4 linked regions of the Lepisosteus oculatus genome follow. The protein of the gene in region 2 purifies or fractionates together with the protein of the main gene of each other region. This does not show direct contact. Links are inferred from orthologs where the notes say so. Each region holds a gene or a part of one and is shown on either strand. Other genes may lie near its edges.

What was found.
Region 1: the proteins of exosc4 (region 2) and hbs1l purify together in Homo sapiens (affinity purification with mass spectrometry; 3 studies listed by BioGRID and IntAct, with this or other methods). This does not show direct contact. The link is inferred for Lepisosteus oculatus from reciprocal best matches to the Homo sapiens genes EXOSC4 and HBS1L.
Region 3: the proteins of exosc4 (region 2) and exosc10 purify together in Homo sapiens (affinity purification with mass spectrometry; 9 studies listed by BioGRID and IntAct, with this or other methods). This does not show direct contact. The link is inferred for Lepisosteus oculatus from reciprocal best matches to the Homo sapiens genes EXOSC4 and EXOSC10.
Region 4: the proteins of exosc4 (region 2) and mphosph6 purify together in Homo sapiens (affinity purification with mass spectrometry; 7 studies listed by BioGRID and IntAct, with this or other methods). This does not show direct contact. The link is inferred for Lepisosteus oculatus from reciprocal best matches to the Homo sapiens genes EXOSC4 and MPHOSPH6.

Annotation. Positions count from the first base shown.
Region 1 is NC_090697.1:50,019,627-50,027,472, reverse strand, and holds the start of hbs1l (HBS1-like protein), read left to right. Parts: upstream 1-4,825; 5' UTR 4,826-4,993; coding exon 4,994-5,036; intron 5,037-5,561; coding exon 5,562-5,627; intron 5,628-6,980; coding exon 6,981-7,115; intron 7,116-7,253; coding exon 7,254-7,448; intron 7,449-7,846. UniProt on the Homo sapiens protein: GTPase component of the Pelota-HBS1L complex, a complex that recognizes stalled ribosomes and triggers the No-Go Decay (NGD) pathway.
Region 2 is NC_090701.1:28,951,305-28,958,309, reverse strand, and holds the start of exosc4 (exosome complex component RRP41), read right to left. Parts: upstream 3,009-7,005; 5' UTR 2,825-3,008; coding exon 2,654-2,824; intron 1-2,653. Other genes in the region: oplah (5-oxoprolinase), read left to right, coding at 6,621-6,791. UniProt on the Homo sapiens protein: Non-catalytic component of the RNA exosome complex which has 3'->5' exoribonuclease activity and participates in a multitude of cellular RNA processing and degradation events.
Region 3 is NC_090720.1:2,766,144-2,773,708, reverse strand, and holds the start of exosc10 (exosome complex component 10), read left to right. Parts: upstream 1-4,548; 5' UTR 4,549-4,745; coding exon 4,746-4,871; intron 4,872-5,359; coding exon 5,360-5,496; intron 5,497-5,872; coding exon 5,873-5,996; intron 5,997-6,568; coding exon 6,569-6,673; intron 6,674-6,954; coding exon 6,955-7,120; intron 7,121-7,252; coding exon 7,253-7,361; intron 7,362-7,565. Other genes in the region: serine/threonine-protein kinase mTOR, read left to right, coding at 242-314, 502-576, 811-946, 1,229-1,294, 2,143-2,223, 2,678-2,758, 3,326-3,431, 3,846-3,861. UniProt on the Homo sapiens protein: Catalytic component of the RNA exosome complex which has 3'->5' exoribonuclease activity and participates in a multitude of cellular RNA processing and degradation events.
Region 4 is NC_090715.1:14,997,533-15,005,196, reverse strand, and holds the start of mphosph6 (M-phase phosphoprotein 6), read right to left. Parts: upstream 3,005-7,664; 5' UTR 2,857-3,004; coding exon 2,806-2,856; intron 124-2,805; coding exon 11-123; intron 1-10. UniProt on the Homo sapiens protein: RNA-binding protein that associates with the RNA exosome complex. Involved in the 3'-processing of the 7S pre-RNA to the mature 5.8S rRNA and play a role in recruiting the RNA exosome complex to pre-rRNA; this function may include C1D.

The sequences.
Region 1 (7,846 bases), on a different chromosome or scaffold from region 2:
GTAGATGCTGGTGAATTTGTTTTGTTTTTATTGAGCCAACCGTTTGACCATAGTTAGTGACTCAGTCTTAAGTCTAAATGCCACTGGTATGGCATACTGTACCTTACACACCTTAAATACTGAAGACTTACATAAACATAGAACCCAGAAGAGACTTGATAAAAGTTGGCAAGGTATTGTTTTCTGTACCTAGTGCACCGACATTTTTTGTAGGTTAATTCATTAAACTAGTTCAGGTGGGCAGCTGCATCAGCATGCGTAGTCTACCAAGGAACAAGTAATACGTTTATTCCATGCTGAAAAGAGAAGAGAGAAAACACATGGTTTCGGCTGTGAAGCCTTCGTCAGGTGCTCACACCTCTTCTCTTTTCAGCATGGAATAAACCTATTACTAATTCATTAAACTATTTAACATTTCTCATCAATGGGGTTGATTGATGTGATCTACAGTGAACGTTAGAGGTTTGTCGTGTGTGTCACCACTGTTGCAAGCAATAAAATAATGTGCGATGCCTGCTTTGCACCAGACTGCAGTTGCTATCTTGTGAGATTCTGGCTCATTCCTCTTGCAGAACCTAGCAAGCATTTGCCTAGTCACTGGTCACTGGGCCCAAGATCCAGATCATCACATGAATATTTAGTGGAGGTCAAGTCTGGCAGGTAAGGCATCCATAAAATTGCTGTCACATTTTCTTCTTGTCTGAAAGCCATTGGTACACAAGAAGCATGAGGACATGTGTTGTTCTGCTGGAATGTTGTCATGTTACAATGTCACATGGAAGGCCAGCGAGACAGGGGTCTCAGGACTGGTTCAATGTAGTGCCATGCACTCCGGTTGCCATCAGTCACTGCAGGTAGAATTCTGTAGGGATATTGTTTAGCTGTACCATCCTGCCAATTTAAAAATTGGTGGCCCTGAATGCCCCAAAACCAATTTTAAAGCATTAACAAATTTGACGAAGCATAACACAGTCACTTTATCAAAATGACACCAAAACATTCAGTCAAAATCCAAAATCTGCATACTTCAATTTTTTTATACATAATGATCATACATAGAATTATTATTTTCTTTTTTTCCCTTGCAACAAGAAGTAAAAGAAAAAGAAGAATAAGAATATAACAAAACTTTGTTAAAGTGGTGCCGAGATTCATCCTTCATAAGAAATGGAAGTAAATGCTCTATCAACAGTTCACAAAGTCTTAACTGTTATGAAGCCAATGACAGGCCTACATTATAGAAAAGCTTTATGATATGGAACTATTGTGATGTACTGTACTGTATATATTTGAGAAACTCTTGTTTGAGGATTGTACTAATTAATTTTAGCACAGTGTGGGTATTTCAGATTTTTCATTTTTTCTGCAATTTGCCAAGTAAACTATTCACCTTTTCAGGAAAATGAGTGGAGTTAGGAAATACCACATACTACCTTAAAAAAATAAATGCTTTAAAATAGTAGTATACCGCATACTACTGTATGGCTGTGTACAGAAGTATAAGAAAATAGTATGTATATATCTGTTATGAGCATCAACAATTTACTAAAAGCCTCCATTAGTCTGTTCTACTATTATAGTAGCTTTGTTATTAATACAGCTTAGTTTGAGAAGAAACTAGAGTTTCTCATTTTGAAATCTGAAATTCATATTGATTAGAATCTCCAAAAATGTGCTTGCTGTCCGTTTGAATTCTTGTAGTAGCACTTACCACTAATATCTCAAATATAAAAGTAATTGTCAAGTTTATCGTATTGTGAAAGCCATTAAGTGCAATGAACAACAACTGAAAATCTTTTATAACATCCTTAAGAAGAATCTTCCTATAATCTTCTTTTAGACAAAAAAATAAATACTTCTGAATATACATATGTGGGATTTTATTTGAAATGTATATTTTATGTGACAGAAATTCTAAAATTCTGGATTGAGATTAGGGTACAAACATTATGATTTTAAGCCTATTTCTATATCACACAGATTTAATAAGAAAATCCTTCCCTAGTTCAAATTTCCCTTCTAGTTTCGATGAAGAAATAATAATGTTTTATCTGTTTAAGAAGGCAACAAAGCAGAGCTTGGTTTCTGATTTTTCTTTCAATGACATTGAACAAAGGAAGAAAGTGAAAAAGGTACATCTGTAAATTTGCTTGCAGCATGCAGCACACCTGTCCACAAAAAGGTGTCTCATCTCCTGTGGATGCTGCTTATAAAAATGTTTATTTGAAAACAGTCAGGTCATTGCTCCACTGACATCGACATGCCCAGCTGTTATGTGAATGGACACTTAGACCTTAGCCTTTCTCAGTGCAAGCAAAAAGAACTATTTTCTCAAAACAATGTCTATATAAGCTGTGTCACATAATGTTGATGTTGCTGGCTCTTCAGCTTCACCAGTTCAGAGAGGGACTGTTCAAAATGTTTAGAAGAAACCAAAGAAGTAAGCATAGGCAAACTATTTAACACCTTTAAGTAATACTCATTTCTGCCTTACTGTATAGATTGAAACTGTAGGTTATTTTAGGAGGAAATGTAATTTTTCACTCATGACAATTTCTTTCCTCCTGCAACTTTTGTGTCTGTAAAACCTACTGTACTTTATGGTATATCAATCTAAGCTGACTGTCCAGCTGGTGCCAACTGTAGTTTAAAACATCGGGTAGGCTGTGCAAGTCATCAAAACCTACCGGTATTGTTTTCCAAAGCTTTGGTAAGTAGAAAATGAGGTCTGTCATTTGTATCAGGGGTGCACTGTAACTAAAACATTTTACTCAATTTGGACTTAGATTAAACCATAATAAACATATTTTGGCAGTTACCTGAAAGGAAGGTCTCCTGCTACATGTTGACTGTTCACTGAAATTAAATAATTTAACTACTGTATGTCATGCAATTTATCAGATGTCTGGAATGTGTGCTAAAATTTTTGTCATGCCATGTTCTTCATATTGACGATCTTCTGTGCTACAAGGGTGTAAAGCTTTGAATGAACAATATTTTAGTTTCACTTTGAGAACCATCCATTACCTGAAAGCTGCTTATCCCGATGAGAGGACAGGAGACTGGAGACTGGAGTCTATCCCAGAAGCTGTTTCACAAGACAACAAAGCAGAGCTTTGAGGGAGGGATCCAGGTAGGATCCAGGTAGGACCAAGAGCACATGAGTTGCCTTCCGCTGGACGGGACCTGAGTCCATTGCAGAATCATGGAGAAAGCGGAAATTTAGCACAGCCAATAATACCTAGGCAGCACTTCTTTAGAAGTTGGGAGCAAACCAGAGCACCTGGAGAGAACTCATTTCAAAATCTGGAGACACAGTCACACCTTAGGCCAGACTAGGGCTATGAGACATCAATGTTACCTGCCATGACAATGTACAAAATATCTCTTTAAAATAACGGGTATGTAATCAGTATAATGGTTTTGAGCCGCTTAAATTATAACTAATGGAATGGAATACTAATGGTAGCTTACTTTACCAGTGTTAACCCATCATACATACTGGGCTCATTTCACACCGAAATGATTTTTACTGGCCTAAGCCAAAGATGGATATTATACCAGTTTACTTACTGTAAGTAATTCAAGTAAAACCAGAACGTGAGAGAAGAGGCTATCACAGAGAAAGAACTGCATTATCAAACTCCTTACAGGGTCTGTGACCCTGGTCCCTGACAGCCACAGTCTCTTTTGGTTTTAACTCACAGCAGAGTTCTTACTGACTTATTTGGATTGAGCCTTCTCTTAACCACTAGAAGTTGTTATTGTTCCAGATCTCCCCTTGTCAGCTACTTCAATTCACTTCTAAACCTTTTGAGACTACGGATGACTAGGACCTGCATCCTGAATGGTTCTCACTTCCATGTTTCCCAAGTTATGTTTGGTCTGTTAGTACTGTATGTAAAACAGCTTAGTCTCCGGTGTTTTGAAGTGCTTTTTAATATTTTTCATTACACCTTTGAAACAATAAAAATTACAGTCTAACTTTCCAAAGATTGTCGAAGAGAACCAAACTGGATTTAGCTGTTTGAAAGAAATTTAGCTGTGCTGAATATAGTCACAAACTCTGGATTGTGTGTTTATGCTCCCTTTCAAACAAAGGGTTAAGAAGAGCTGAGTCAGACAATACAAAACACACTCAACCTGTGCCCGAGTAACCTGCAGGAAACCCCAAATATGCGTCTCTTCTACATTTTCAAAAGGATGTTTTTCCCTACGACAAGTGATTGATCAGCTTGTGCAGCTTGCTGTTGTCATAACCTTGTAAAAATGTTAACAGCAGGTGAAACAGTTATTAACCTTCATGAACTGTTCAGGCCATAACAACGCGTTTAGCACATTTTAAAAGGGCAGATTGTACCTGCATCGTTGTCCTCTTTTGTTATGACTTAAAAGTCTCAGCCACAGATTGTTTGGTTTCATAAATTACACAACATGACACCCCCTTGCCTCCTCCCCCACTAACATATGTCATGAGAAAGTAAAAGTAAGAACAAAATAGAAAGAGCCCTATTGCATCTTTGGAAAATTAACAAGTTTCTTAAAATGCTAACATGCTTGTCTTTTCCAGTTTAAGTATTTTCTTTTTCTTTTTGGAGTACAGTGGATCAATAGTTTGGAATATTTCAGTTTATGATCGCAGCAGTATTGAATTCAGAATTCCACTTTCATTGTGTTACAGACCCAAATATTTACTAAAGATTGACTGTAACATGTCAATTTAGGTGAGCAGGTGTAGGACTATTGCTTGAAATAACTAACTTAATTTCACTTCGGCGCGTCTCAATGGTTAACTCGGCACAGGCAGAAAAACGGAGCTGGAGCAGAGAGCTGCAGTGCGCTTGCTTGGAGAATGCGCAGTGAGACGTCGGTGGAAACAAACATGGCGGCTGGAAAATGAAACGAAGCAGCTACGGTTACATTGCTGATTTATCACCAACAGTGCGGTTTTATCTTTAACCACCTATAAAGGGGCGAAGGGAAAGAATCCAAAATGTCTCGACACAGAAATGTCCGGGGCTATAACTACGACGAAGGTAGACGCTCTTCCAAGTTGACTGTAAGATTGTGATATTCCCTTGTCAGGAAAATGGAAGTGCTGTCGTGTCCCTTCCACAGGCTGGGCACAGGCCAACGCTTTAGTCAGAAAGTTTTATAACATACGAGCTAGCGGATACATAAAAATAGCTGTAGTTATTCTATAAAAGCGCTTTTGTGTACGAATTTGCGAATGGAATGAAACTGAATCTTTCCTTTAAAAAGCAAAACAAGATGTACTTCATGTGGTTTTACATTTCCCCCATTCATCCTGGCCTCCTCCTCGTTTCAAATTAGCAGTACTGATAGTTTAGGACACCCCTGTACGTTAGTCATTATTGAACATTATAGAACTTCTGTAGCTTTATGTAAATAGTTTTGGTGTTTAGGTGCTTTTAGTAGTTAACACAATTTGTGTCATAAGACTTAACTGTTCATTGCAAATACCTACCAGTGTGCAACGACAGATAATACATAGTGTACCATGCTTAGATATTTTCACAGCTACAGTTTTGTATACACAGATTTTGAAGATGATGATCTATATGGGCAGTCCGTGGACGATGACTACTGCATTTCCCCTGCTACAGGTTTGTGGGATGCGTTTCTTATGTGTCTGAACTTGAATTCTAAAGTTTTCTGAATCAAGATTTTGCCGATTTGATTAGATGGTTTTCTAGTGGTCTAAGCACTGTATTTGTTGAACATGGACCTCATTGAAGATGTGGACGTTTATGCAACTTGGTTATTTTCAATTTGAAAGCTAATCAAAGGATTCGATATAAAACCTAAATTAAGTGGATGAAAAATCTGCATATTTTGTTTTGTAATGTTTTGAACATTGGCTTTTATCTTGTGTAGTATGAACTACACATGATGGATGCGCATGGATAAGTGTGAAACTATTTCTGATTAGTATAGTTTTAACATAATCACACTGTTTGTGGTAAGACTTGGTGATGTTTCACACATTTAGGGTTTTTATTACTTTTCTTTTTTTAATTCTTTCTTGGCAGTAAATATGGATTGTTAAAAGTTGGATATTCTGCATTTTTATGATTCTACACATGATATTGTATTAAAACATGCAATTGTCTTCTTTGCATACTTATTTAACTTTAACAAGAAACTACAGTTTTGAATAAAGTCATATTTTGGTGTGGCAGGTTTATCAGTATTAAACTAAAGACAAATGAACAGAAGCATTCTGGGATGATGTGTCATCTGAGCTAGTAGATGAGTATGCAATGTCTATATCTTTTATTGGTCAAAGCCATTTGTAATATCTTGCATCTCTCTAGTTACTCAACCAATTTATTAAAATTCGTGTTTGCCTGGTAGGATTATCCATTCACAATGGAATAATGTGGCAGTGGGTTTGCAAGTGGTCTGGTATTTGACCTCTTTTGGCATCAGTTGTAGCTGAACACAATTAAAAAACAGTTTACTAAAACGTGTGACGTCTGTGTTAAAGCTATCTGTCCACAGTAAGTTTTTACTTTCAGATGCTTAGTGTTATTTGTAAATAAACGTTTTGGATCTTTCAGCCAGGTTTTAAATCATTTTTGGACAACTAGTGTGATTTGTCCAGAGTATCCTTGAGAGTAAATACATTCAACAAAGTAAATCAATTTAGTGAATTTTGGGAGAAATGAAGAGGCAATTTATGGAAAAGGGACAGATGATTTGCATGTGTAAGGATGCTAAGTAACCTATTGAATTGTGGCGACTCATGTATGTTGATGTTCACTGTCTTAATGTTTTGAATTTTTTTGTTGCCAGTATAGTTACAAAACGATCCCCTACCATGGAATGAGGCAGCTTGACTTCTTGTGTCACAGTTTTCTGCAGATGAAATGATGGCGCATGCGTAAGGCGGGAAATTCTGGATGATAGATTTTGTGCGTCTCCCCCCTTAATATCCCAGTGTGCTTGTTTTGCAGCTGCCCAGTTCATCTACTCCCGACATGAGAAGCAGGCAGCCTATGCAGAGCCCCTGGAGGAGGAGTATGGGGCCGAAGAGGAAATGCCTGTCTCTCCCAGTCCGAACCATCACAAACTTGACACTCTTTCTCAAGGTATAACACAAAGCTCAAGTGATTTTAACAGATGTGACATTAATTTGATGACGCTATCAGTTTGCAAGTCATATAACATTTTCTTGATGTTAATGAAAGGCGATCAGCACAGTTCCCTCACACACTTCTTGTTTCCAGGGCAGCTGTACTCCTGTCTAGATCAGATGCGAACAGTGCTTGGCGATTCCATCCCTGATCCTGTGTTGGTAGAAGCTGCACTCAGCTGCCAGTTTGACCCACAGAAGGCTCTGGACTTAGTGCTTTCTGGGGAAAGCAAGAACACACCAGCAAGAAATCAGCAAGACAATGTGTCTGCTGTGAAAACTGACAGAGGTATGTTTGTATTGTCTTAATTCGTTCTGTTGTTTATTCAGCAAGCAAAATACATTTCTTTGCGCGTGCGTCACACCTTAGATTTTCTCATGACTTCGAAACCCTCAGTCGTGCAGTTGGTGTGTGCAATTCTGAATAAGCGGACAGCAAAAAGTTTTTTCTACTATCTGAGGCTTTCACTAAATTGCATTTCAGAACACTGTTGCTTCAGTGTTTCCAACAAAGTCAGGAATAACTAAATATTTACACAGAGGTATTGTAGTTAAAACCCTGTTTAAATATTGATAGTAATTAGGAACTGTTTATTCACTGAATAATATTCCCTCATTATTACCTGTAATGACTTGAGAATTAATTTGAGAACATGAGAAGTTCATTTTCTCAAATGGTTTAAAATA
Region 2 (7,005 bases):
TGCTGGGGAACCCCTATTCTTTTCTAAAAACACCCTAGGATTTTTAACAACCACAGAGAGTCAGGACCTTTGTTTTATGCCTCATCCGAAGGATAGTGCCTTTTTTCCCCACAGTAGTGTCCCCATCACTATACTGGGGCATTAGGACCCACACACACCGCAAAGTGAGCACCTCCTACTGGCCCCTCTAATACCTTAATACCTCTTCCAGCAACGACCTTCCGTTTTTTCCAGGAGGTCTCCCATCCAGGTACAGACCAGGCTGACACCTGCTTAGCTTCAGTTGGTTGCCAGTTGTGAATTGCGGGGTGATATGGCTGCTGGCAATTCATAACTGATAACTTTTCATAACTAATCGCCAGAGCACCGTACAGCAGACCTTGAGTACTATAACAAGCACTGGAGCAGAGAACAGCACAAAACACAGAAATAAATAAACAGTGGCTTATTTTAATGTAACTCTGAAGTTTAAAAGGCGAAAGAATCATTCATATTTTATGAGGTCAGCCTAATACTGTATCATTACCTCAGTGGCACTGCACAAGCTATGAGAGACCCAGGGACACCTGCTAAGCTCTTCACTGTTCGGAATCTGGAAGGCTAACATTTCTGCAGATCAGACGACACTACAGGATACCTGATCTGCAGATCTCCCACTACCTCCTGTGCACTGTATTGCTCTGTACTGTCCGCTCCCTTTCCTGCCTCTGCCAAAAGCATAACCAGACGTCTCTAATGTCTTTGTACTGCATTTTAAACCTTGCTTGCAAAGTGCTAATGTTACATTCAATTGCAGATCATTTCACACAGCCACCACTAGTGAAACCCCTGTGATATTTTTCCTAATGGACTGGTCAGTCTTGTCTGCAGAAGGTCTGGATGTTCTACGTATACAGTGGCATACTTCCATGTGAGTACCCACACAGCTGTTTCACTGTTCTACGTTCAAGTGCTCAGCAACAAGGCAATTTATCAAAGAACTTAAATTCCATCACGATGTGGTTCTTGTTCATTGCTTCACAGGCAATGGTGACTTGAGGTGCCATTTGTGCAGAAGCACAGACTGCTGTGCCACTGTCTGTGTGTATTTAACCTCAGTCAGGCCCTATAGCTCAGTTTCACAGATGTTTCTCAGCATCATCTCCAATGCTTTTTCAGATAGCCTATAATTTCTATATATATATATTCAAGGAGGGATCTTTGTTATAGTTGTTATCATAGATATAGAAAAATGGTCAAAACATTTTTCACAGGCTTTTTAGTTTTCCTGTGCCCTAGGTAGAGTACCTGCTGTGCCTACTGGATAATATGACCTTACCCTCGACAAGATAATAAATTACCTAGAGTTCCAGCTGCTCACAGAGATCACTTATACATGTTTATACTGTACAGTTTCCATATAACTGTATTCCCAAGCATACTTTCAGACAGTGTAACAAAACATCACTTAATTAGCCCTGTACAGTTTCTTGCATTAGGAATTCGTCTTTTTGCATACCCCAGCTTGCTCTCCATGAGACACAGACAAACAGACAGGGAGAGAAGCTTGGGGTCAGAGCGCAGGGTGAGCCATTGTACAGCCCCCCTGGAGCAGCTGGGTTAAGGGCCTTGCTCAGGGGCCCAATGGAGTAGGATTCCTCTGGGGGCTTCAGGATTTGAACCAGCAACCGTCCAGCAACAGGCACAGGTCCTTAGCCACAGAGCCACTGCTCAGCCCATCTATAAGTTTTTAAAATTGCCTGAAACTAAAAATAATTCATATGCAAATTAAGATGAAAATGTTGCAGAGATACATACTGGTGGTTAATAACTCACAACACCCATCAGCTGTTAAACCCACTGATCAATGAAAGTGAGAATTCACTACAGGTAGGTTTTGTAGATGGCTTATTTATAAAACCTAAAAAGCTACCTGGATCATATTAGGATATGCATGGGCAGCACAGTAACAGAGTGGTTGTATTGCTGCCTTGCAGCACTGGGGCCCTGGGTTCAATTCCTGGATTCATCTCTGTGTGGAGTTTGAATGTTCTCCAATCAGCCTCTTGTGGGTTTCCTCCAACTGTCCAGAAAAAATCGGTCCTGTGTGTGTGTGTTGTGTGCATCCTGGGATGGATTGGTATCCATTCCAGGGTGTACTTTGCCTTGCTCCTGTTGCTTGCCGAGATAGGTTCAGGCCATTCTGCAACACTGTATTGCATAAAGTGTTTAGAAAATAGACTGATAGCATATGCATAGTATATGCAGAACTGAAACAGCAACTAACGAATTCATATTTAAAATAACTTCGTCTGTGGTTAATTTAAGAAGGTTGCATTACGTAACTAAAAAAGTGAACGTAATCTCGTTCAAAGAGCAGGTCTTATTCTTACTGAAATAGTCCATGTGAACAAACTGTATACGGTCAACCTAACTGTACAGCTTTCAGATTGAATCGTCTCGAGCATACCCCTGACGTTGCATGTAACTTCCTCTGTGCATCAACGGCAACGTCGATCGGATTAATCAAAAATGATAAATCACTTTCACAAAGGAGCTTCGAACGTTACGATCATCCTCTATGAAATTAATGCCAGTCATTGAAAGGCAGTAGGCTGCCTACTCTACACACACCCCGGGCCCGGCTACTTTCCCTGCCTGCCAGGAGACTCACCTCATGCGGTCCGTACACTACCGCGAGCGCCTTGGTGTTCCCCTGCTCGATGTAGGCAGACCCATCGCCTTGCGCGAAGACCCCCATGCGGGCTTGCACCTTGCGGAGCTCGGAAGGCTTCCTCCCATCCAGCCGGTATCCCTGATCGGACAGCAACTCTAACCCGGCCATGTTTCAAAACTCATGTGCGAAAGTGATACAGCCCGTCAAATAAAAAAAAAACTACTATACCCACAATCCTTCTGTTTTGCCGTCGCTCTATATATTGTCATCTTGTTCGTCATCTTCCTTGTCTTACGTAGTGTATTGCATATTCATTATAAAATCCTTGTCAGTAATGTTCCGCATTTTTGGGATTTCATGTTTGCCCTTCGTGATGTCCCATTAAACACGTTTTTGTTTGAGTCTCTCAATTAAAAACATTAAAATTAAACATTTTTACTTTTAGCTTGTGACGCTTATATTACACAACATATAGAAGATGCAAATACTTTTTAAATGCATTTTGAACGACAAAGAAAAATGTTTACAGTAAAATAAGCAAATCAGGTTAATACGTTAAACAGTTTGCCCCTCGGGGATATTAAAGACGTTCGAAACTCCTCACATCCTGGGGGTGTCAGTGACCCACCATGCATGATAACGTTGTCTTTTGAACCCAAAGTTTCTTGCAAGCTTGAAAGCGCAGATACAGCGTTTTAATAACAAAGCCGAGAGGAGGAACGGGGCTCGGGAATTGATTGGCTGGCCGGCCAGGTCTCATGCATTCTCCCAGAGCAGTCTGGATAAGATCTTTTCTGTGGCAAGAGAGAGAGAGAGGTAGCTTGTGGAGGTGTAAGAAGGAGCTTAGTTAGTCCCCGAGGTCAACGTAAAGCAGACAGGTACAGTTTGGTGTCAACAAAGCAGGTAAAGGAGATCTCACTGCACTCCACTGTTCAACAACCTCGATTTCATCAGAAAATCACACCGAGACTGCGAGACGTCAGACCGTGTTGGAGCCAGACTCATACTTCGTGTTCAGTGCTTGTCTCGATGTAAGTCTGACTTGACTGGGTACAATCTGCGTACGGCGCAAAGCAGAGAAAACTGATAAACTGGAAACTGGCAGTGATGTTGTCAACGTTAACGATGTATCTTTCTTTATCACTAATTTTAACTTAATTGTATACTGTTTAGAAATAAAAAAGTAGTAGAATTTACTTTGAAATTAAGCAACAAGTCAAGAATGTTACTTTTCTTCACGGTTGAGATATCGGGAAAGATACACAATGTAAAAAAAAAATGGCAGTCCAATCTTGGACCAGGGGTAACTGGCAAAACTGTCAAATCGCAGAGCTTAGAAGGCATAGACATGGTCAGTACTGGGATAGGAGACCTCCAAGGAAAGCCAGGCTGCTGCTGTGAATGGTTGTGGACCAGCAGGGGGGACTGTGCACCAGAATTTCCAAACCAGTGCCTCACATTGGTGTCCAGGGACACTGCTGTAAGGTATGCTATCCTTGTGGTGAGAAATAAACAAAACATCTGTGTGTGTTAAAGATCTAAGAGCAAATGTTAAGATAATTGAGGTGTTATCTTAACACTTTAATATAGCCTGGTCCACCTGATGTGATATGTAGTAGGACAGCTGCTGTAGAATATTTGAGGGTGTTATATGAAGCTACTGGTTTTTGGGGTGAAGTTTTTACATTTGTTTCTGGGGTCCCTCTGGACAGTGTCTGAGAAGTGTCAGGAGTTCCAAGGCACATTGCTGGGAAAGACTGGGAGATTTGCATATGTTATGCATTAGAGTGTACATGCATAGTAGAGTAATACAGGATCCAGAACTATACAACACAGGTTCAACAGTTCGGCAGTGAAAGAAATGCAGAACTTCTTACAGAGACATTTAAAAAGGAATGTCATTTAATCTAATGCAGAAAGTCATGTATTCCTGATAGTAGCTGTGGCAATCTAGGGCTGTTATTAGTAGCACATGGCTCAAGACAGAAGTACAAGCTGGAAGAAAAACCAGTAAAACCACTGAAAAAACAGTATTCTGAGAACTTACTGACTGATTCCTGCAGTGCATGTAATCTAAAAAAAATCACTTAGTCCATCACAGGACACACACTCACTAGGTAACCAAACAGGCACACTAGGTAACCCTACCAGTATATGCTTGGAAGGTGTGAGGAAACCAGAATAGACACAGGACCATGGACACTCCATGGAGAAAGCACATCAGGCCTGAATGGAACTCAGGACCCAAGAGCTATGAGGCTGAGTTAATGCCCATGTCATCTAACATAGAAAGGGAATGTTATCTACTCTATGTGCAAACTCTAAAAAACACTTTTGTAGTTACCTATAAGTGTAATGTTACACATTAACCTTTTTTCACAAAGCTTTAACTGATAACTGTTGAGAACAGTTTGCCATAGCAAGTACTGGGCTTCTAATCTCTGTTCATGTGGATTTGGCTATTGCAGTAACAGTAGTATGCATCTGTGGGCACTATGAAAAACTAAACTTGCGGGACCAAGTTCTTTGTTGTCCCTTTTTTGAGCATTCAAATACAAATACAAATACCATATCTTTCAAAACCCTGTGTAAGAGAAGGCATCAATTTTGTTTTTTCTTTTCCACAGTATTGCTAGAATACTCTGTTGCTAAATTTTTACCCTTAAAAATGTACAGTTGCTTTCAAACAATGAATAAATATTGTCCTGTCCTGGAGTAAAAAGCTACAGAATTAAACTTGTAGGTCATCTCATTACAGGGCCAGGCTGATGTGTCTAAGATCCCGGGGTATCTTTCTATACTGTGTGGCTGGGCAGTATAGTCCATTGCAATTATTCAAATTCAGTTTCAATGAGCTTTATTGGCATGACCAACCAATTATGAAATTGCCAAAGCAATAACAAGTTCAAAGGCATGTTCAGTCATCTACAACAACAAAAAAATATTATTTGGGAAGCTCGATCTTCGTTTCTGAGTCTGTGATAGTTGATCTTCTACTGGGCTTCCAGCTCTATATTTGTTTTCTAATCCTCTCCCGCAGTTGGATTGGAAACTGTTGTGATTCTAGCAGGAATGGAAATTAAACTTGTTATTTTAAGGAGGTATCTTTATCTGATACCAGAGTATGTCGTGCACTACAGCAGAAAGTGCATCTCTGTCTCTGTCCTGCTGACAGTGGGAAAACAGCCTGTCCTCTCTAGGCAGCCAGGTCTGCCTGTGTTGACCAGTATTTATGGGCATATTGTGAAAAATACTTCACCCAATAACAAAGTATTGTCTAGTATCAGTGAAGGACCTTTCTGAATTGAAGGAAACTTTAAAACTTTGGAAGAGGTGTTAGTGAGGCCAGCAGGGGGCGCTCACTCTGTAGTCCATGTGGGTCCTAATGCCCCAGTAGAGTAATGGGGACACTATACTGTAAACAGGCGCCGTCCTTTGTATGAGATGTAAAACAGAGGTCCTGACTCTCTGTGGTCATTAAAAATCCCAGGGCGTTTCTCGAAAAGGGTAGGGGTGTAACCCCGGCGTCCTGGCCAAATTTCCCATTGGCCCTTACCAATCATGGCCTCCTAATAATCCCCTTTATGAATTGGCTTCATTACTCTGCTCTCCTCCCCACTCATAGCTGATGTGTGGTGAGCATCCTGGCGCATTATAGCTGCCGTCGCATCATCCAGGTGGATGCTGCACATTGGTGGTGGTGTAGGGGAGTCCCCATTACCTGTAAAGCGCTTTGAGTGGAGTGTCCAGAAAAGCGCTATATAAGTGTAAGCAATTATTATTATTATTATTATTATTATTATTATTATTATTATTATTATTATTTTTACCTCAATATTTTACCACTTTATACATTTCTTCCCTTGGCCACAACAATATCTGTATACTCAGCTGTCTTGCTTATTTTACATACAATCGGTCCCTTCATTGCCGTCTCTCCTCGATTTTCCTCTTCTCCCTCAGCATGGCGGCCGTGCTGGAGAAGTTTGACTTTGCAATCGATCGGGGTGGCACCTTCACGGACGTGTATGCCCGCTTGCCCGGAGGCCGGGAGCGAGTCCTCAAGCTCCTCTCACATGACCCCCAGAATTACCGTGACGCCCCGACTGAGGGCATTCGCCGAATTCTGGAGGAGGTGAGGGACAGGGGAGAACGGGAGATGGTTGGATGGTGGAGAGGGAGTCAATAAATGAAGGGGTAGAAGCAGAAGGAATAGTGTCAGAAAAAGAGGGTGGGGGGAGTGAGGAACTGGGAATTCTATTCTGTCCTAATAATCTCTATGACCTCTGGCATGTGTCTTGATTGTGTCTGTCTGCTTTCTTGGCTGGTCACCTGGTGTATCTGTCTCC
Region 3 (7,565 bases), on a different chromosome or scaffold from region 2:
ATGGTCAATTTTTTGCATTATTCTTTTGTCCGGCCTGTACGTGTTTTATGACTTCTGCATGCAGCCCTGGACTTACTGCTGGGTTCGTTAGTCATAGTATGGCTTTGCATTCAGTCGAGCGCGTGCCTGAACTTCGCCCAGTGGAACCAGCACAGATACAAGGCTAGAGTTACTCCTGTTGCAATGGCATATTAAAGCAAAGACATGATGCCATTACTATCCCCTTAAACATAATCCCCAGGCATCCCTCCAACCTGATGCTGGACAGACTGAGTGGGAAGATCCTCCACATCGACTTTGGCGACTGTTTTGAGGTGGGTTTGTGAATGATTTTCGTTACTCCGCAGAGCGCAAAGTGATAGGAAGAGGTGGAGAGATGATATGGGAAGGACCCACTGTTGGCAGTGTAGGCGTTGTGTCTGCTGGGGAAGAGAAGAGCTCTTTCCTGCAAGGAACAGAGTGAAGGAGATATTAACGCTAACGTGTTGCTGTGGTTGACAGGTCGCCATGACCAGAGAGAAATTCCCGGAGAAAATTCCTTTCAGGCTGACCAGGATGCTTACTAATGCTATGGAGGTGAGCGGGTGTATTTAGGGGGGGGGAAATGGTTAAAAAAATCTTTATAGTGCAAAATAAATGAATGTTACACAGTAACAACTGTGTTGTGCGTGCACTGATGTTGATGGCACCATGCAGAGAGGTCAATAAGAAAACCAGGGTGCTGTTAGAAGCAGGACTGGTGAGTCCAGGGATGCGGGCCAGCCCGTGCTCTGGGGTCTCAGGGTGTTCCGCTCCGTGTTTGCCGTCCAGGTGACGGGCCTGGATGGGAACTACAGGATCACGTGTCACACGGTGATGGAGGTGCTGCGGGAGCACAGGGACAGCGTCATGGCCGTGCTGGAGGCCTTCGTCTACGACCCCCTGCTCAACTGGAGGCTCATGGACAGTAAGGGACCCGCAGCTCAGGCCCCGGGGCCAACCGGTCCGCCAGCCTGACTACCCACAGAAAACATCCTCTTTAAATCTTTATCATGGGAGCGTTCAGGAAATTGTAGTCTTCTGTGTGTCTTTTATGTGTTGCCTATCATAAAGTACACATGCTTTTAGCCATAGTTGCATCTTAAATTTAACTGTGTGAGAACTTCTCATTTCTGGTAGTAGCCTGTGCATGACCTCTTGCACCAGTACCACCTTGAACTCGCTCACAGCTCTTCGGTTCTGTCCACAGCGAACACAAAAGGGAATAAGCGATCCAGGACGAGGACCGACTCCTACACCGCGGGGCAGTCCGTAGGTGAGCACGAGGGCTGGGAGGGGTGGCACTGTAGCAGAGAGGTTGGTCTCAGGACGTGTTCAATTGGGATGTTACCTGGTGAATATGGTGGGCAATCAGTACATGGCTCTGCACTCACTCTCAGCCTTCTGAGGACTAGAGGGAGAATATTAAATTGGTTTGCTTGTGCCTCTGCTCTGTAGCAAGCCTACTGAAGGAAAGCAAACTTTTTTTAAGGCCATATCATGGGCTCCTTGGATATGGGTGTTTATGGCGATGAATCATTAGGTGATCAAATCTATGTAATTAAAAGTGTCAAATTTAAATCAAAGGATATTATGTTAAAACTGTAAAAATGTATCATTGAGAATATTGTTATAGAATAGATATTGTTGCTTTGGAATCTGTCCAGAGAAGAGCAACCAGAGACCTTCTGGGACTTGAGGGACTGAACTGTCCTCCACTGGCAGTCTGAAGGAACTGAATCTCTTTCATGTGCAACAGAAAAGACCGTGGGGGGATCTGATAGAAATGTTCAAGGTTTTCAAAGGCACTGACCCAATCAAACCATTTAAAAACTAAGAACAAGGAGGAATGTTTTTACTCAAAGAGTAAAGCAAGCTACCCAGCCAGGTTATGGAGCCTGACTTCTTTCAAGTAACAGTTGGATGAGATCTTTGGAACAAGAAGAAACTTCATGTCAAACGAGCCATGGTGGTCAGTTGATTGAACTCTTATTTCTAGCTTTCCCTAAGAAGGATCTGCATTCCAGAGTGGGAGAATCCAAATGGGGTGTAGGGTGCAGAAACGGTCAGAATAACGTCTTCATACCGAAAAAAAAAATATTCTATGCTTTCTTTCATTTTCAGAAGCCCTGGAGGGAATTGAGCTTGGTGAAACGACACACAAGAAGCCAGGAACCACAGTGCCTGAATCCATTCACTCCTTCAGTGAGTTCAGACTCGCAGGAATACCGGCGTGTCTGCTATCTGGTCATAGACCATAGAGCTTGAGAAAAGATTGTTCCCAAGAAGAGACAAGCTTCTCTTTTTCAATTCTTACCACAGATGCGTGGATCAGAAAACCAAAACAACAGTGAACGTTTCAGTTTGCCTTTGCCTGTCTTCTGTCTTAAAAAAACATTTCCATTTCTAACACCACAAATTGAATTGTTCATTGATAGCACATGAAGAAAGACCTTTTGTCAACAGCGTGACAGAAGGTAGGAGAAGGAACACAATACTGGCATTCTTTAACTTAATAGAATGCAGAAAATGTCCTACTTTATTTGGCTGAACCAACTTCCTTTTGTCAAACATTTCAATGCATTTTCCAAAACATTCAGCAAGATAATGGGGACACATGTTTTTGAGAACTGAATCTAAAATGTTTTCTCCCTTTCAGTTGGAGATGGCCTAGTGCAGCCTGAAGCCCTGAACAAAAAAGCTATTCAAATCATCAACAGAGTCAGAGACAAATTGACCGGTGAGTACAGCACAGTCAAAATGCCATCAAAGCTTGGAACAATCAGGCTTAGACATTGGTGAACAAACTTGTTTTCCAACAATGTGGGTGAAGTACTATATGAGTGTATCTCTTAAACAGGAACTCCCCATCTGGGAATAAAACAACTTATCTTTAAAATATTACATGAGAAAAGCACAGCCCAGAAAATCCACAGAGATTTTTTCATTTTTAGGAAATATTTGTTCAGTCATGTAGTCTGAAGGGTGACACCACCTCACATGAATAAAAGCCTGGAAGCTGTTTATTCATGTGAGGGACATCCATGGTCTACATCTGTACAGCTTTGTTCTTGCACTCTAGAACAGCTGTTTCGCAGCAACAACTTTGACCAAAATTAATGATAAAGTGGACACACATTGAAAAACAAAAAAAATGATGTTGCATTGAAATTGATATTAAAGGTTTTAAATAAGTACTTAGCCCTCATCCCCACTTTGATATGACACATAGATTAAAATGAATTACTCGCTGTTCCTGGAGTCCTGAAGGATGGCTTCTGATGCTTCCCTGCTTGTCCCCTCTCAGGTCGGGATTTCTCCCACGATGAGACTCTGGACGTCCCAACTCAAGTGGAGCTCCTAATCAAGCAAGCGACCTCCCACGAGAATCTGTGCCAATGCTATATTGGATGGTGAGCACTATTGGTGCCTACATGAATCCCCAGTTGACAGATTGGGGTGTGGTTCTTCAGATATGTCCAGACAACAGCTTGTCACTGTAGGAGAACGATAGATGATGTAGGCAAGAAGGGTTCGGCCAGGGTGGTAAATATACCAAATATACCAAAGCAAACTAAAGGATTGTTGTGTAATACTGTGTCTGGGGATTAGGAGTTCTGCCCTTCTGTAGACAGAGGTGAAGCCTACAAAAGGTTAAGACTGGGATTCCGACGAGGAGTTAGGTTTTGTTTTATTGGGATTTTTTTGTACTGAAAGAATTTGTATTTCTGCAGAAAAAGCAAGCTGACACATCAAATCTCCCCTTGAACAAAAGGAAATCTGCAATCTGAGGCATCTGACTTGTTTTTCCTTTTCTCCTCCTACAGGTGTCCATTTTGGTAGCAGAGCTCCTACATCTTTTTCTCTCTACACCGTTCACTAACACTTGGCGCCATGCCGATCACCACAAAACAGACTCCGCAGTTCCAGACATGGAGACGTATAGCAGTGTTAATGGCACATTTTGAAAGCCCTGAACGCAATTTAAACCTAAACTGAACTCAAATGAGGTTACTGCTGTGGACTTGGAATGTTGTGAAATGCCACTTGCGTACTGTTAAAATGAGTTAAATATAAACTAAATTTAATTTAATTTACTCACCATAAACTTTTGAATTAATATCAGTCTGCTGTAATGTACTGTAAGTTTTCTTTGGCAATAAATAGTAGATAAAAAAAGACATTTGCATACTCTGTGTGTTCCTTTGTTAAAAAAATGTATTACTGAATTGTAACTTTAAAAAGTAAATGCGTTTCATATGAATACTATTGGGTTGACTTTTCTTCAATCTTGTACTTTTGCATTGGTTGGCCAAATGTAGATTTGAAAGCAAAAGCAGCTTTATCCAATATGTAATTTAAATAAATCACCTAACACGAAATAAATGAGAAGGGACATTACCCCCACTGTCCTGATAAAGTTGCATTGTAGGCTTTATGTGGTAAACCTATTTCTGAACCTCATAGCGATGTCTGTTGTGTATCGAATCTGCTGGTGTCGAATCGTTGTCTCGTTTTACTCAAAAAGAGTGCTGCTCTAGAGTGGTGGCGGCGGAGGAGCACTTTGAAATGAAAGTTTTATATAAATACAAGGGATTATTATTGTTATCATACTTTGATTAGGTACTGTTGGTCTTATTATTTATTATTTTCTTCGGCCATGCCGCCCGGTTCCTCCCCCTCCCCTAAGAGGAGTCCACGTCTCGCGTGACTTTAACATTTTCAAGATGGCAGCGTCCACGAGCAGGAGTGGCAGAGGCAAGGGAAATAATATTTCTCCGACAAACGAAGAGGCAGAGGGCGAAAAACCAGAACTTTTGCCCGGCTTTAAGGATGCCGATTCATTTGTGAAGGTTTGTGGACGAATTATTGGTGAATACCCCCGGTCATTCTCGTATAAAGGCCTGTGGGTGAATAAGGGTTCACGAGTGGCGTGTTTACCAGCTCAGCTGTAAACGGTGTAATTAATAAAAAAAGACGGTGTGATTAAGGTGCAGAGTAGTCACGCTTTATAAGGCTCTATGAGTGATGGCTACCGTTTTTTAAGTATTATACCACAAGGTGCAGATTTTTATCTCCGTGCGTTCCCCCTAAAAATGCAACGAGCTTTGCTGTTAACGTGGAAATGTCTGGTTTTACCTTTCCCGACGTTTTAAGAAGTACCATTAAAAAAGTGTGCAAAATCCACAGTGTGATATGCTCGATAAGAAGCACTGCCGTTGTGGAGTATAAACCTTAAATTGTACGAGCATACGCATCTGTATCGTGTTTCGGTTGTTTAGTTTCAATTGGTTTTTGACTGGCTGCTCTTGACAAGTGGCTCTTTGAATCTGTTTTACAGCACGGCTTGGGAACTGTAGTAGCGGCCACGAAAGCTTCTGCAAATCTGCCGCAGGCTGGGGACGAATTCGACTTCTACCGGAGCTTTCCCGGATTCCAGGAGTTCTGCGAAACGCAGGGAGAAAGACTTTTGCAATGGTAGGCAGTTATAGTAAATGTGATTCAGTATGTAACATAAAAAGCATTGAATGGATGCTGGTGAAATTAATAACTGTATCGTTTAGATCCTGTGTAAAAGCGACTTCATGCGTGTACAGTCCTAGGAGTTCTTTCTAGCTACGTCAGTAGCTGATCTGGTAGTAGTGAAGTGCTGTTTAGATCAGTCAGATTTTTACTAGTTTGTCTGAAGCTCTCTCTGTGTTATTAGTTTTATTTGCATTATCAGCTTATGCATGCATGCATATAATTGTGTACATGAATTCATACATGAAAATATACAGAGACATTGTAAATCTCTGAAGTGTTTCTAGTGTCTTTAAGATTGCTTGTGACGATGTAATGGATGTATTTGCAGTATGAGTCAACTGATGCAGTACCATGGCTGCAAATCTCACATGAGAGATCGCAACAAAGTGACTGGCCTGGAGGAGAGATTCGACTTGCTGGTTGACTCCAATGATGTCATACTGGAGAGAGTGGTACAGTATAATCTTTTTCCTGGACAGCCTTTTCAATGTAAAACCAGGTCCAGAATGGTAGAAGGCTTAGGGCTCTGGTCTGCCCAAAAGGTCATGGGTCTCACTCCTTTGAACGAGAGTCCAAACTTTAAAACTGAGAACCGTTTACAAAAACAGTAATCGTTTTGGATAAAAAGCAACTATCAGATTAATCAAAGCAGCTCGAAGGGCAGAGATAGTTTTAAAAGCTGTAACACTGTTGCACTGACTTTTTGGTTGCTAAGATTTTGTCCGTCATTGTGTTTTGTTGGGAGTGTGCTGTAAAATGAGACAATAAAGGCTGAATTGGTAAAAAAGCCGTTCAAGAGCAGTATAAAGCACACAAAAACAAATTGGCACCCTTCACCAACCAGGTTTGTTAAACCAGCATTTTGGTTACTAAACTATAACTTGTATTGCAAATCTTGAGGAGCCCTGCTTAAAGCTGATTCTGAGTTGATGTATAATTCTTTTAATGCATATTCTTCTCAAACCCTTGATATATCTAACTTGTCATGATTGGCTTTAAATTATATCTGTTGTTGTTTTTGCAGGGAATACTACTGGATGAGGCTTCAGGAGTGAACAGGAACCAGCAGCCCATCTTACCAGCTGGTATTCAGCCTCCAAAGACCATCGTATCTAGCTGGAACCGCAAGGTAAGACCGCTCATGGCTAACCATGAACTCACGAAGCCAATTCACAGGCTTCAGGTGTTGGATAAATCGGAACTTCTATCAATCTGTAAATTCCATACTCCTGGCTTCCCACAGTAGACCCCTTCCATCTCCGTTTTGGAAAGCCATTGTAGGGTTCGGAATTCCCAATTCACAGTCTGTCTGGCTTTAGAAAAGTGGATGTCTCGTGCTTACCTTTGTTTTTTCATAACTTGCTCTGTTTAATAGCATCCAGCAAAAGTCCCTTGTCTCTTGATTCCTAGAGCAGGGATTCCAGCAAGGCGGCCAAGTCTGAGACATTTCGCCTTCTGCACGCAAAAAACATTCAGCGTCCTCAGCTGAAGTTTCGGGAGAAGGTCGACAATTCTAACACACCCTTCGTCCCCAAGATCTTCGTCAAACCCAACGCGCTGAAATCCCTTCCAACGTGTAAGTTGGTCCCAAGCGTCTTTGACCTTGCAAATGTCATCTGGAAAAGGAATTTGTATGAGGCAATGCAGGTATGATGATCAGTCTTTGACATTGTAGGTCTGATTCTTTTTACTCGTTTGTCTTTTTAAGATTTTACAGACCAAAAAATCCGCAAGGAGAGGCCTGAAGATCTGGATGTGCCTCCAGCACTGGCAGATTTTATCCACCAGCAGAGAACACAGCAGCATCTAGATGACATGTGAGAGAGCCAGTGGTTATTGGATATATATACCATTGTAAAATAAAACAAGTGTACCGTGGAGTGGACTTTATCGTGTCTTGTATTGCTTTAAGGCATTTGCCTAAAACTAACCAGTTAAGTCTAAGAGGAGTTGATTGTAATGCTCTTATTTGTAACCTTTATATTGTATTGCTTGGAATCTGCCACACAACTTATATACTT
Region 4 (7,664 bases), on a different chromosome or scaffold from region 2:
CTGGACTTACTCCTTGGCCTTGAGCTCTGGCAAATCGAGGTACCAGTGTTCATCGCTGATTATCCTCTTTTCTTCCTCCTCCAGCTGCTTCTTGACTTCTGCGTCCAGGCCGCGTTGCATGAACTGGGGAAAGACGAGCATCGTGCTTCAGTCAAACAAACCACAGCTCCAGGCCTGCCATTGCTCACAGAGTCACAAGACAGGGGCTGGGAAACCAGCTCATACCCAGCTGTTCAGCTGAATGTTCTGCTGGCAACAACCCATGAGAGGCTTGGGAATACTTGTAGGCCGAAGAGAACACACATGTGGTATAAAAAGAACAATTCATCATTGAGTAGGCTGAAGAGGGTGGTCAGGGAATGTCACACACAAAAACCGGTAAATACTGAATATTAAATGGTTGGCACTAAACATGAACTTCCTTCTCCCAGTTAAGTAGTCATATTGCACAAAGTCCTGCTGCTCGAGTGAGCATGGGGTAGTGAGGACTATAGAAAAAGCACAGCACAGATCTGCAGGATCCTATATTGACCAGCTGTAATCCTGCCCTGTTCGCACAGCTGAACTGCCATCACTCAAGAGGCTGAGCTCCAGGGGTTAAGGCCAGACATACTATTTAATAAAAGTGAGCCAGAGAGTTCCCTCCCTGTGTGATTGTGTTTTCCCACAAAGCCAAGAACCTAGCAAAGGCCAAGATTTTTTTCTTTATCAGAAAAAGAAAACATTTTTGTCCACATCTCTTTACTGAAGCAGCACATTGCGCATCGTGTGCTTTGAGCCCCGAGTCGTGTTTAAAACACGCCGCATCTAAAGCTCTTCACAATGTTGATTTCTGGACAGAAACGGCCGATGTCTGAGAAATGAGTCGGATAAACCCTCCAAGTGTGGGAGGAGAGGACACAAAAGCAGAACTCATTGGGAAAATACCAGGGAGATCTGCGAGCTCAGCAAACACGATCACCAGAAAAGAGGGGGAAAAAAAAGAAACCTGCACCTGTAAACCCACTATCTTGAAAACTGGCAGACCATATTGAGCTGTTGATACTTTTGTCTTTCATGTGCTTTGGTGATTAACGGCAGGATCTGCGAAGCGTGCTCTTCCCTGACAACCCCAATATTCTTCACATGTCTCCAGCAGTCTTAACATCTCAAGCTTCTCTTAGGCTTGGGATACACAGCAGGAGGCAATTACTGGGCACTCTACCATTTCACAGGAATACTTAAAGTAATTCAAACCCGGGACAACCTGCACAGCTCGGCTCTCCCAAACGAAAAGAAGCGCCGTGCCAGATCTCTCGCGCGTTAATGAGGTGCAGCGAGCGGACCGAATGATGCACGAGGCCCCGAGACAATTCTTGAGAAGCGGCGTGTCGGGAAAATTTTTGAAAGGGCTTTATCCCCCCCCCTATTTACAGGGCCCCACCGTGATGACAAATTCAGTGCAGAACGGAAAAAAAAAAGAAAACAGGCAGGAGAGACAGGAACACAGAGTTCTTAGACTGCTCAAGGACAAATGTTCCAAGGACTGAACAGAGACGACAAAAAATCAAGCCACTGGCTTTCAGTGCGATTATCTGTAAACCTGGTGGGTTATTTGATCTTCCTTCTACAGAAAGCTTCAAAATGAAGTCATTTGAAAACTTTCACATTATCTCTTTAAAATATATAAGCTCACCCTTTTTGATATGTTGTACTCCACGCTATGTATAACTAAGAACAGTAACGGATGAGAGGAGGCCATCAGGCCCCATGTGTCCAGCTCGGTACTCAATTGATCGTAGGCTCTCATCCAGCTCATTCCTGACAGAAGCCAGGGTATCAGCCTCGTCAGCTTAGCTGTGTAGCTGCACACTCCCACAGCCCTTTGGTTAAAAAGGAGCTCACTGTGCGTCTAAGAACCGCTCCTTCATCTCCGTGCTTTCTCACGGAGGCAGAATTGTCATGCTGTGCGTAGAGATACATTATACTACTATGAAACAGAAGATAATACAGTTTCTTTCACAGCGTATAACAGTATTACATCTTTTTATCGGTCTTTTCTGTTCCTTTTGCACATCAGGGTATTCGATGAACTGAGAAAACTGGTTACAGTACATTTTTGCAGTCGCGCACAGTAGCTGGCAGAGAAACTCGCCAAGCTGCTGTGGGTTCAGCCTCTCCACTAGGATCAGCAGCAGAGGAACACCCGAGGTCTTCTGACATACCCCGATATGTACATTTGCAAATGTCACCAAAAAGAAGCAACTTATAAAAGAGGAAAAAAAAAAAACTCCTTAGCGGCAGTAGTTAACATTTCCGTGGATTCTCTAGGCAGATTAGGAAATGAAACCCGAGGAATGCAGGACATTCTACTGATCTATAACAGGCTTCATAATGGGACCGTCACACACGGATTAAATACAGAGACAGACAGGATATTTACATTACTGATAATAGCAGATACTTAAACAAATGAAAGAAATCTACTTGACTGTTGTACTTCTGGTTATAAACTACTACATTATGAAAATCGAGTGCACTTTTATCAAACGCATGGGCTAAAAGTTACGTTCATAGCCCTCTCAACGTGTTTCAAAAGCACTCACTTTGTCGGATATTAATGGAGTACTCTTAATAAGTATCCAGGTTTTCATGACACACACGTCCTTAATATCTTACTATAAACTCGTGCATGATTTTACAGTTTATACACAAGAATCTCTTGGGAAAGGAGCATGCAATTTTCAACATTTAACACACGGGGGAAAAAAAGGCCCGATACCAAATCGATTAGGAGTCCTGAGACGCCACACTACAACACATTACCTTCATTCGTAAGAGGTTCTTGGACAGCTTCGCGGTACCATCGCTTGCCATTTCAACCACCGAGTTCGGCAAAGTAAAAAAAAAAATCTAATGTTTCTAAAAATATCAACCCTACGTTACTCAGACTAATGCTAAACCTCCAGACGGCGGAGAGGAACACGCTGCAGTACACCGAGCGAGACAGTATCAATCCATCTGCCGATGCAGTCCCCCCCCCAAGCCCAGGCCAATGGATCACCGATTCAGAGTTACCTCTACGGAACACACAGTTACACGTGTCTCCACTCCGCCGCTGTTGCGGACCATAGACAAAGTGTTGAACCATACATTTGCAATTGTCGCCTATTACAAAACAGGGTCGCATCAAGATGGGCGAAATCTAATCCGAGTGCCCGGTTTAGACCAGTTTTATAAATATCACATGATAAATGTATATATTTATTATACACGTAAATGGATCTATATAATCACGGTTAAGAACTGATGCTGTGCATTCGGATTTGAGTCCGGGCTGGGGCTCCTTCTGTGTGGAGTTTACATGTTCTTCCCCGATGATAATACTTCCTTACAATTATAAAGCGTTTTTTAGACACTCCACTCAAAGCGATTTATAGGTAACGGGGACTCTCCTCCTCCACCCCCACCAGTGTGCAGCCCCCACCTGGATGATGCAATGGGAGCCATAGTGCACCAGTACACTCCCCACACACCAGGTCTCGGTGGGAGGAGAGCAGAGTGATGGAGCCAGTTTAGAGATGGGGATTATTAGGAGGCCATGACTGTTAAAGGCCAGAGGGACATGTAGCCAGGACGAGAAACGCCCTGGGATTTTTAATGACCACCGAGAGTCAGGACCTCGGTTTTACGCCTTTTTACAGCACAGTGCCCCCATCACTATCCTGGGTATTAGGACCCACAAAGACTGCAGGGTGAGCGCCCCCTGCTGGCCCCACTAACACCTCTTCCAGAAACAACCTTAGTTTTCCCAGGTCTCCCATCCAGGTACTGACCAGGCCCTCACCTGCTGTGCTCCAGTGGGGAGTTGCAGGGTGATATGGCAGCTGGCTTTCCTACTTGGCCAGAGTTTCCTCGCCAGAGACACGCGAGTGTGTACATCTGTCCAGGGGGTACCCTCACTTTGCGCCTTGTTTCTGCCACGTAGGGATCGCTGGGGTGCGCTCTCCTTACCAGGACTGAACCGTTTCTGACAGAAGATCGAGCAAGAAAAATCGAGAGATTAAGTCATTCCAAACCAGGAGCGATTTTTTTTTTTCAGGTGCAGTTTCACGTTGGGCCGGCGGGACTGCGAGCGCTGAACTCTCGCCAAACTAAAGCGATTGAAGATCGAGAACGACTAAGCGTTGGTCTACTGCTTGAAATACCGTCTTCTTTTACAGTCAACTCTAGGAAACATCGTAGAAGAGTCTTGTGGGGGTGAGTTGAAATTGGATTTTTAACCCGGTGGAATGGTTTGCCTGGTTTCCAGGTAAATGGTTATTGAATAACGCTCAACACTTGAAACATTGACACCCTTTTCCTTGGGGAGAAGACTATAACTCACCAATACTTATAGGGCAATGCATGTATTTTCATTAAATATTCCGAATATAATATTAATTTTAACATCACTTTCTACATATCCTTTATTAGCGTAGATTAGTCCCTCCACACTTCATACTGTGTCATGAGGATCATTTCAGAATAGCACAAAAAGTTGTGTATATTCGTTTCCTTTTGCGAGCATCTGAGTCTGAGTCTGGTTGGTCTGTCTATATTAGCGATGTTCCTATAGCCCGTGGATACAATATTTTTGTTTTCTCTCAAAGGTTAAATTAACTGTATGACTTTTAAATTCCTTCAAGAACACCTGTGAGACCATTTGAGCTTTTCTCCGCAGAACACAAGCGCAGCTTGTATTTTATTGAGAGCAGCAGCTACGCATGAGAGGATATACATAGCAAATGGTTTATTCATGTTATGCTCCGGGAACAAATTTAATATGCTCCCCTGTTTGGTGTGTGTTTTATGAATTCCTGCGCTTGCCCGGCAATCCCTGTGATTGAGCAGAACTTTGCTGTTCTTGATACAATCAGGTGTGCGTGCGTTATTTTCCGAAAGCCCGCGAAGCAGAACCACTTACAATGAAATTTGTTTTTGACTAGTTCTAATTTTCTTACCTGTCATAGCAGCGAAGATGAATAAACTTCGGCGGCATGCACTTCAGAGATCTGAGTTTAGTACACGCCGAGCAGGAAATCGTGTTTGACAAAACAGACCATTTCTCTTTTCGCATGATGTTGTTCAGTGTTTTGTGGTTTTGATGGATTTTTTAAAACAGTTTTTCAGCTAGATTATGATGCCACGAAGTAAACACAAGCAAAAACGAAGAAAACGGCGTAGCTCACACTTTGTTAATAAAGGAGCTGCTGTTCAGACACTGCATTGTCACGCGTTTTTTTCTTGAAAAATGACTAAACTGAATTTAACCTGAAACATCGAAAAGACTGTTTCGCTTTTAATTACTTCTTGTACTTCTTTAAAGAGGAAAAACACAGTTTAACACGTTTTTTTCTTCACACGTGAAGCGACTGTTATTTCCTAATTTTAAAAATATCGGTGCCCACGTAGAAATGTGGTTGTCCGGTGATGATGAATTGGGTATTCAGCTACACGAACTGCGTGTTTAATGGCTAAACTTCTGCCACTGGTGCAAGTGATTACCGGGGTGTTGCTATACAGCAGAATAAAACTGATTATTAGGAACAAATATCATTGTGCTCCACTGCCCACTTGTCTTTCATTACTGTTGATCAAACAGGAGAAAAAAGTAAAAGTAAGCAGAAACGGCCTTAGGGCCAGTGTGAAAATCACTTTAAATACCGCATAGTGCAGTTTGAGTATTTCTTTATTGCAAATGTCAATTAATAGTCATTTGAGAAGAAATATCACGAGAAACCATAGACATAAAAGTGTTTTGCATTATGTAAATATCAATTGCTAGTGAGAACTCAATCGACGCCACCTCTTGTGCAGTTTATGCAAAATTGTGTATCGTTTGTACTGAGTCTGTAGGCAAATATGAATGAAAGATGAGGAATGGGATACTTGATGTGATAACTAGGAAAATATGCTTTAATTGGTGTTTCACTCAGTGGATGTCAGGGCTGGACATAATTTCGAATCAGTTATTTTGGGATCAGTTACTTTTTTTAACCCAACTGATTAAAAACGGCTAATTTTATTTCCACACAGTGGCTCGTGGGCTGTGCATTACAATGAATAAGGCTCGTGGGGAGACTAAGTCGCCGCTGTTTGCTGGAAAGTTGAGAGATCCGTCCATTTTCTAACCGCTTCTTCTAGTTCAGAGTTGCGGGAGAGCTGGAGCTGTATCTAAATCTACTCTGAACAAGCTGCAGTATGTCCAAAATTCAGCAGCCAGAATCCTGACCAGGTCTAGTGCAAGTGTTCACATTACTCCTTTCCTGGAGTCCTTGCACTGGCTTCCGGTCAAATTCCGCATAGACTTTAAAATCCTCATGCTCACCTATAAGGCTTTACATGGCTTGGCACCTCAATACCTGTCTGAACTTTTATCGCCCTACTCCCCACCTCGCAACCTCCGCTCTTCAAATTCTGCCCTCCTTACTGTCCCCCAAGCCCGTCTACATTGTATGGGTGACAGGGCCTTCTCCTGCTATGCCCCCAAGCTCTGGAACTCTTTGCCCAAGGATATCAGAGAGTCACCTTCTCTAAACTCCTTCAAATCCAGACTTAAAACCTTCTTCTTCAGGAAAGCCTTTACTTAACTGGTTCCATTCTTCACCCCTCTGCTCTTAATACCACCTTCCACAGCCTCCTCTATTGTTATTGTTGTATTGTTGTAATTATAATTGTGTCCTATCTTGTGAAATCTTCTTATTTATTGTTGTAGTCTTTTTATTTATTGTTATTGTCATCCTGTAAAGCGCTTTGAGAAGCAACCTTTAAAGGCGCTATATAAAATAAAGTTTATTATTCTTCTTCTTCTTCTTCTTATTATTATTATTATTAAACACAGGGAGAACAAACTGTACAGACGGCACCTCAGGTCTGAAACTGAACACAAAGCCCCAGCGCTTCGAGGCACAAATTCTAACCAATGTGCCGCCAGTGTACAGATCCCAGAACAACCTGCCCCTTGCCGGATGTGTCCCACCTCCTGCTGGTGATACAGCATGACTCAGGCTTGAACTTGGGATGCATGCAATACAGACATTAGCCATTAAGTGGAGCAAGTGCCTTCGCTTGGTGAGACACTTGGGTTCTCCATAAAAATTGTTGACAGCATGCAAGAAGAAATTATGATTTATGTCTTACATTTTAATATTACTGTCATACCATGCCCTTAGGAGCTAAAAGCTGTTTTATGAGTGTTTTTTAGAGTTTAATTTAGAGTCCTGTGATCAGAGTTAAGTGCAACATTGAGTTACTGAATAGAAAGCTTAATTGTTTATGTGTCAGACATTTGTAAAATATGTCTTGTTACATTACTTGCTAGTGTCACACTTGAATGAACCTCCACTGGGTCAGATTCACCGTAGATGTGGCAGCAGCTGTTATTTCTATGCTGATGAAACCCGACATTAATCAAGCACAGTCTGTTTTGTCCTATGGCTTAGATCATGTGAAAAATAGATGCACTTTTACTTCTAAACTCTAGCCAGACTGAAGTTTTGTCAGTTGTATCTCCTTAGTATCTTTGCCAATGTGACAGCCCTTGGCTGTTTACCGAGTAGCTCAACTGGAAGAGGTGTTTTCCCGCATGCAGATGGACTTGTCTGGTGGTGGGTTTGAGCCTGTCAGTGACAGAGAGACCCCTG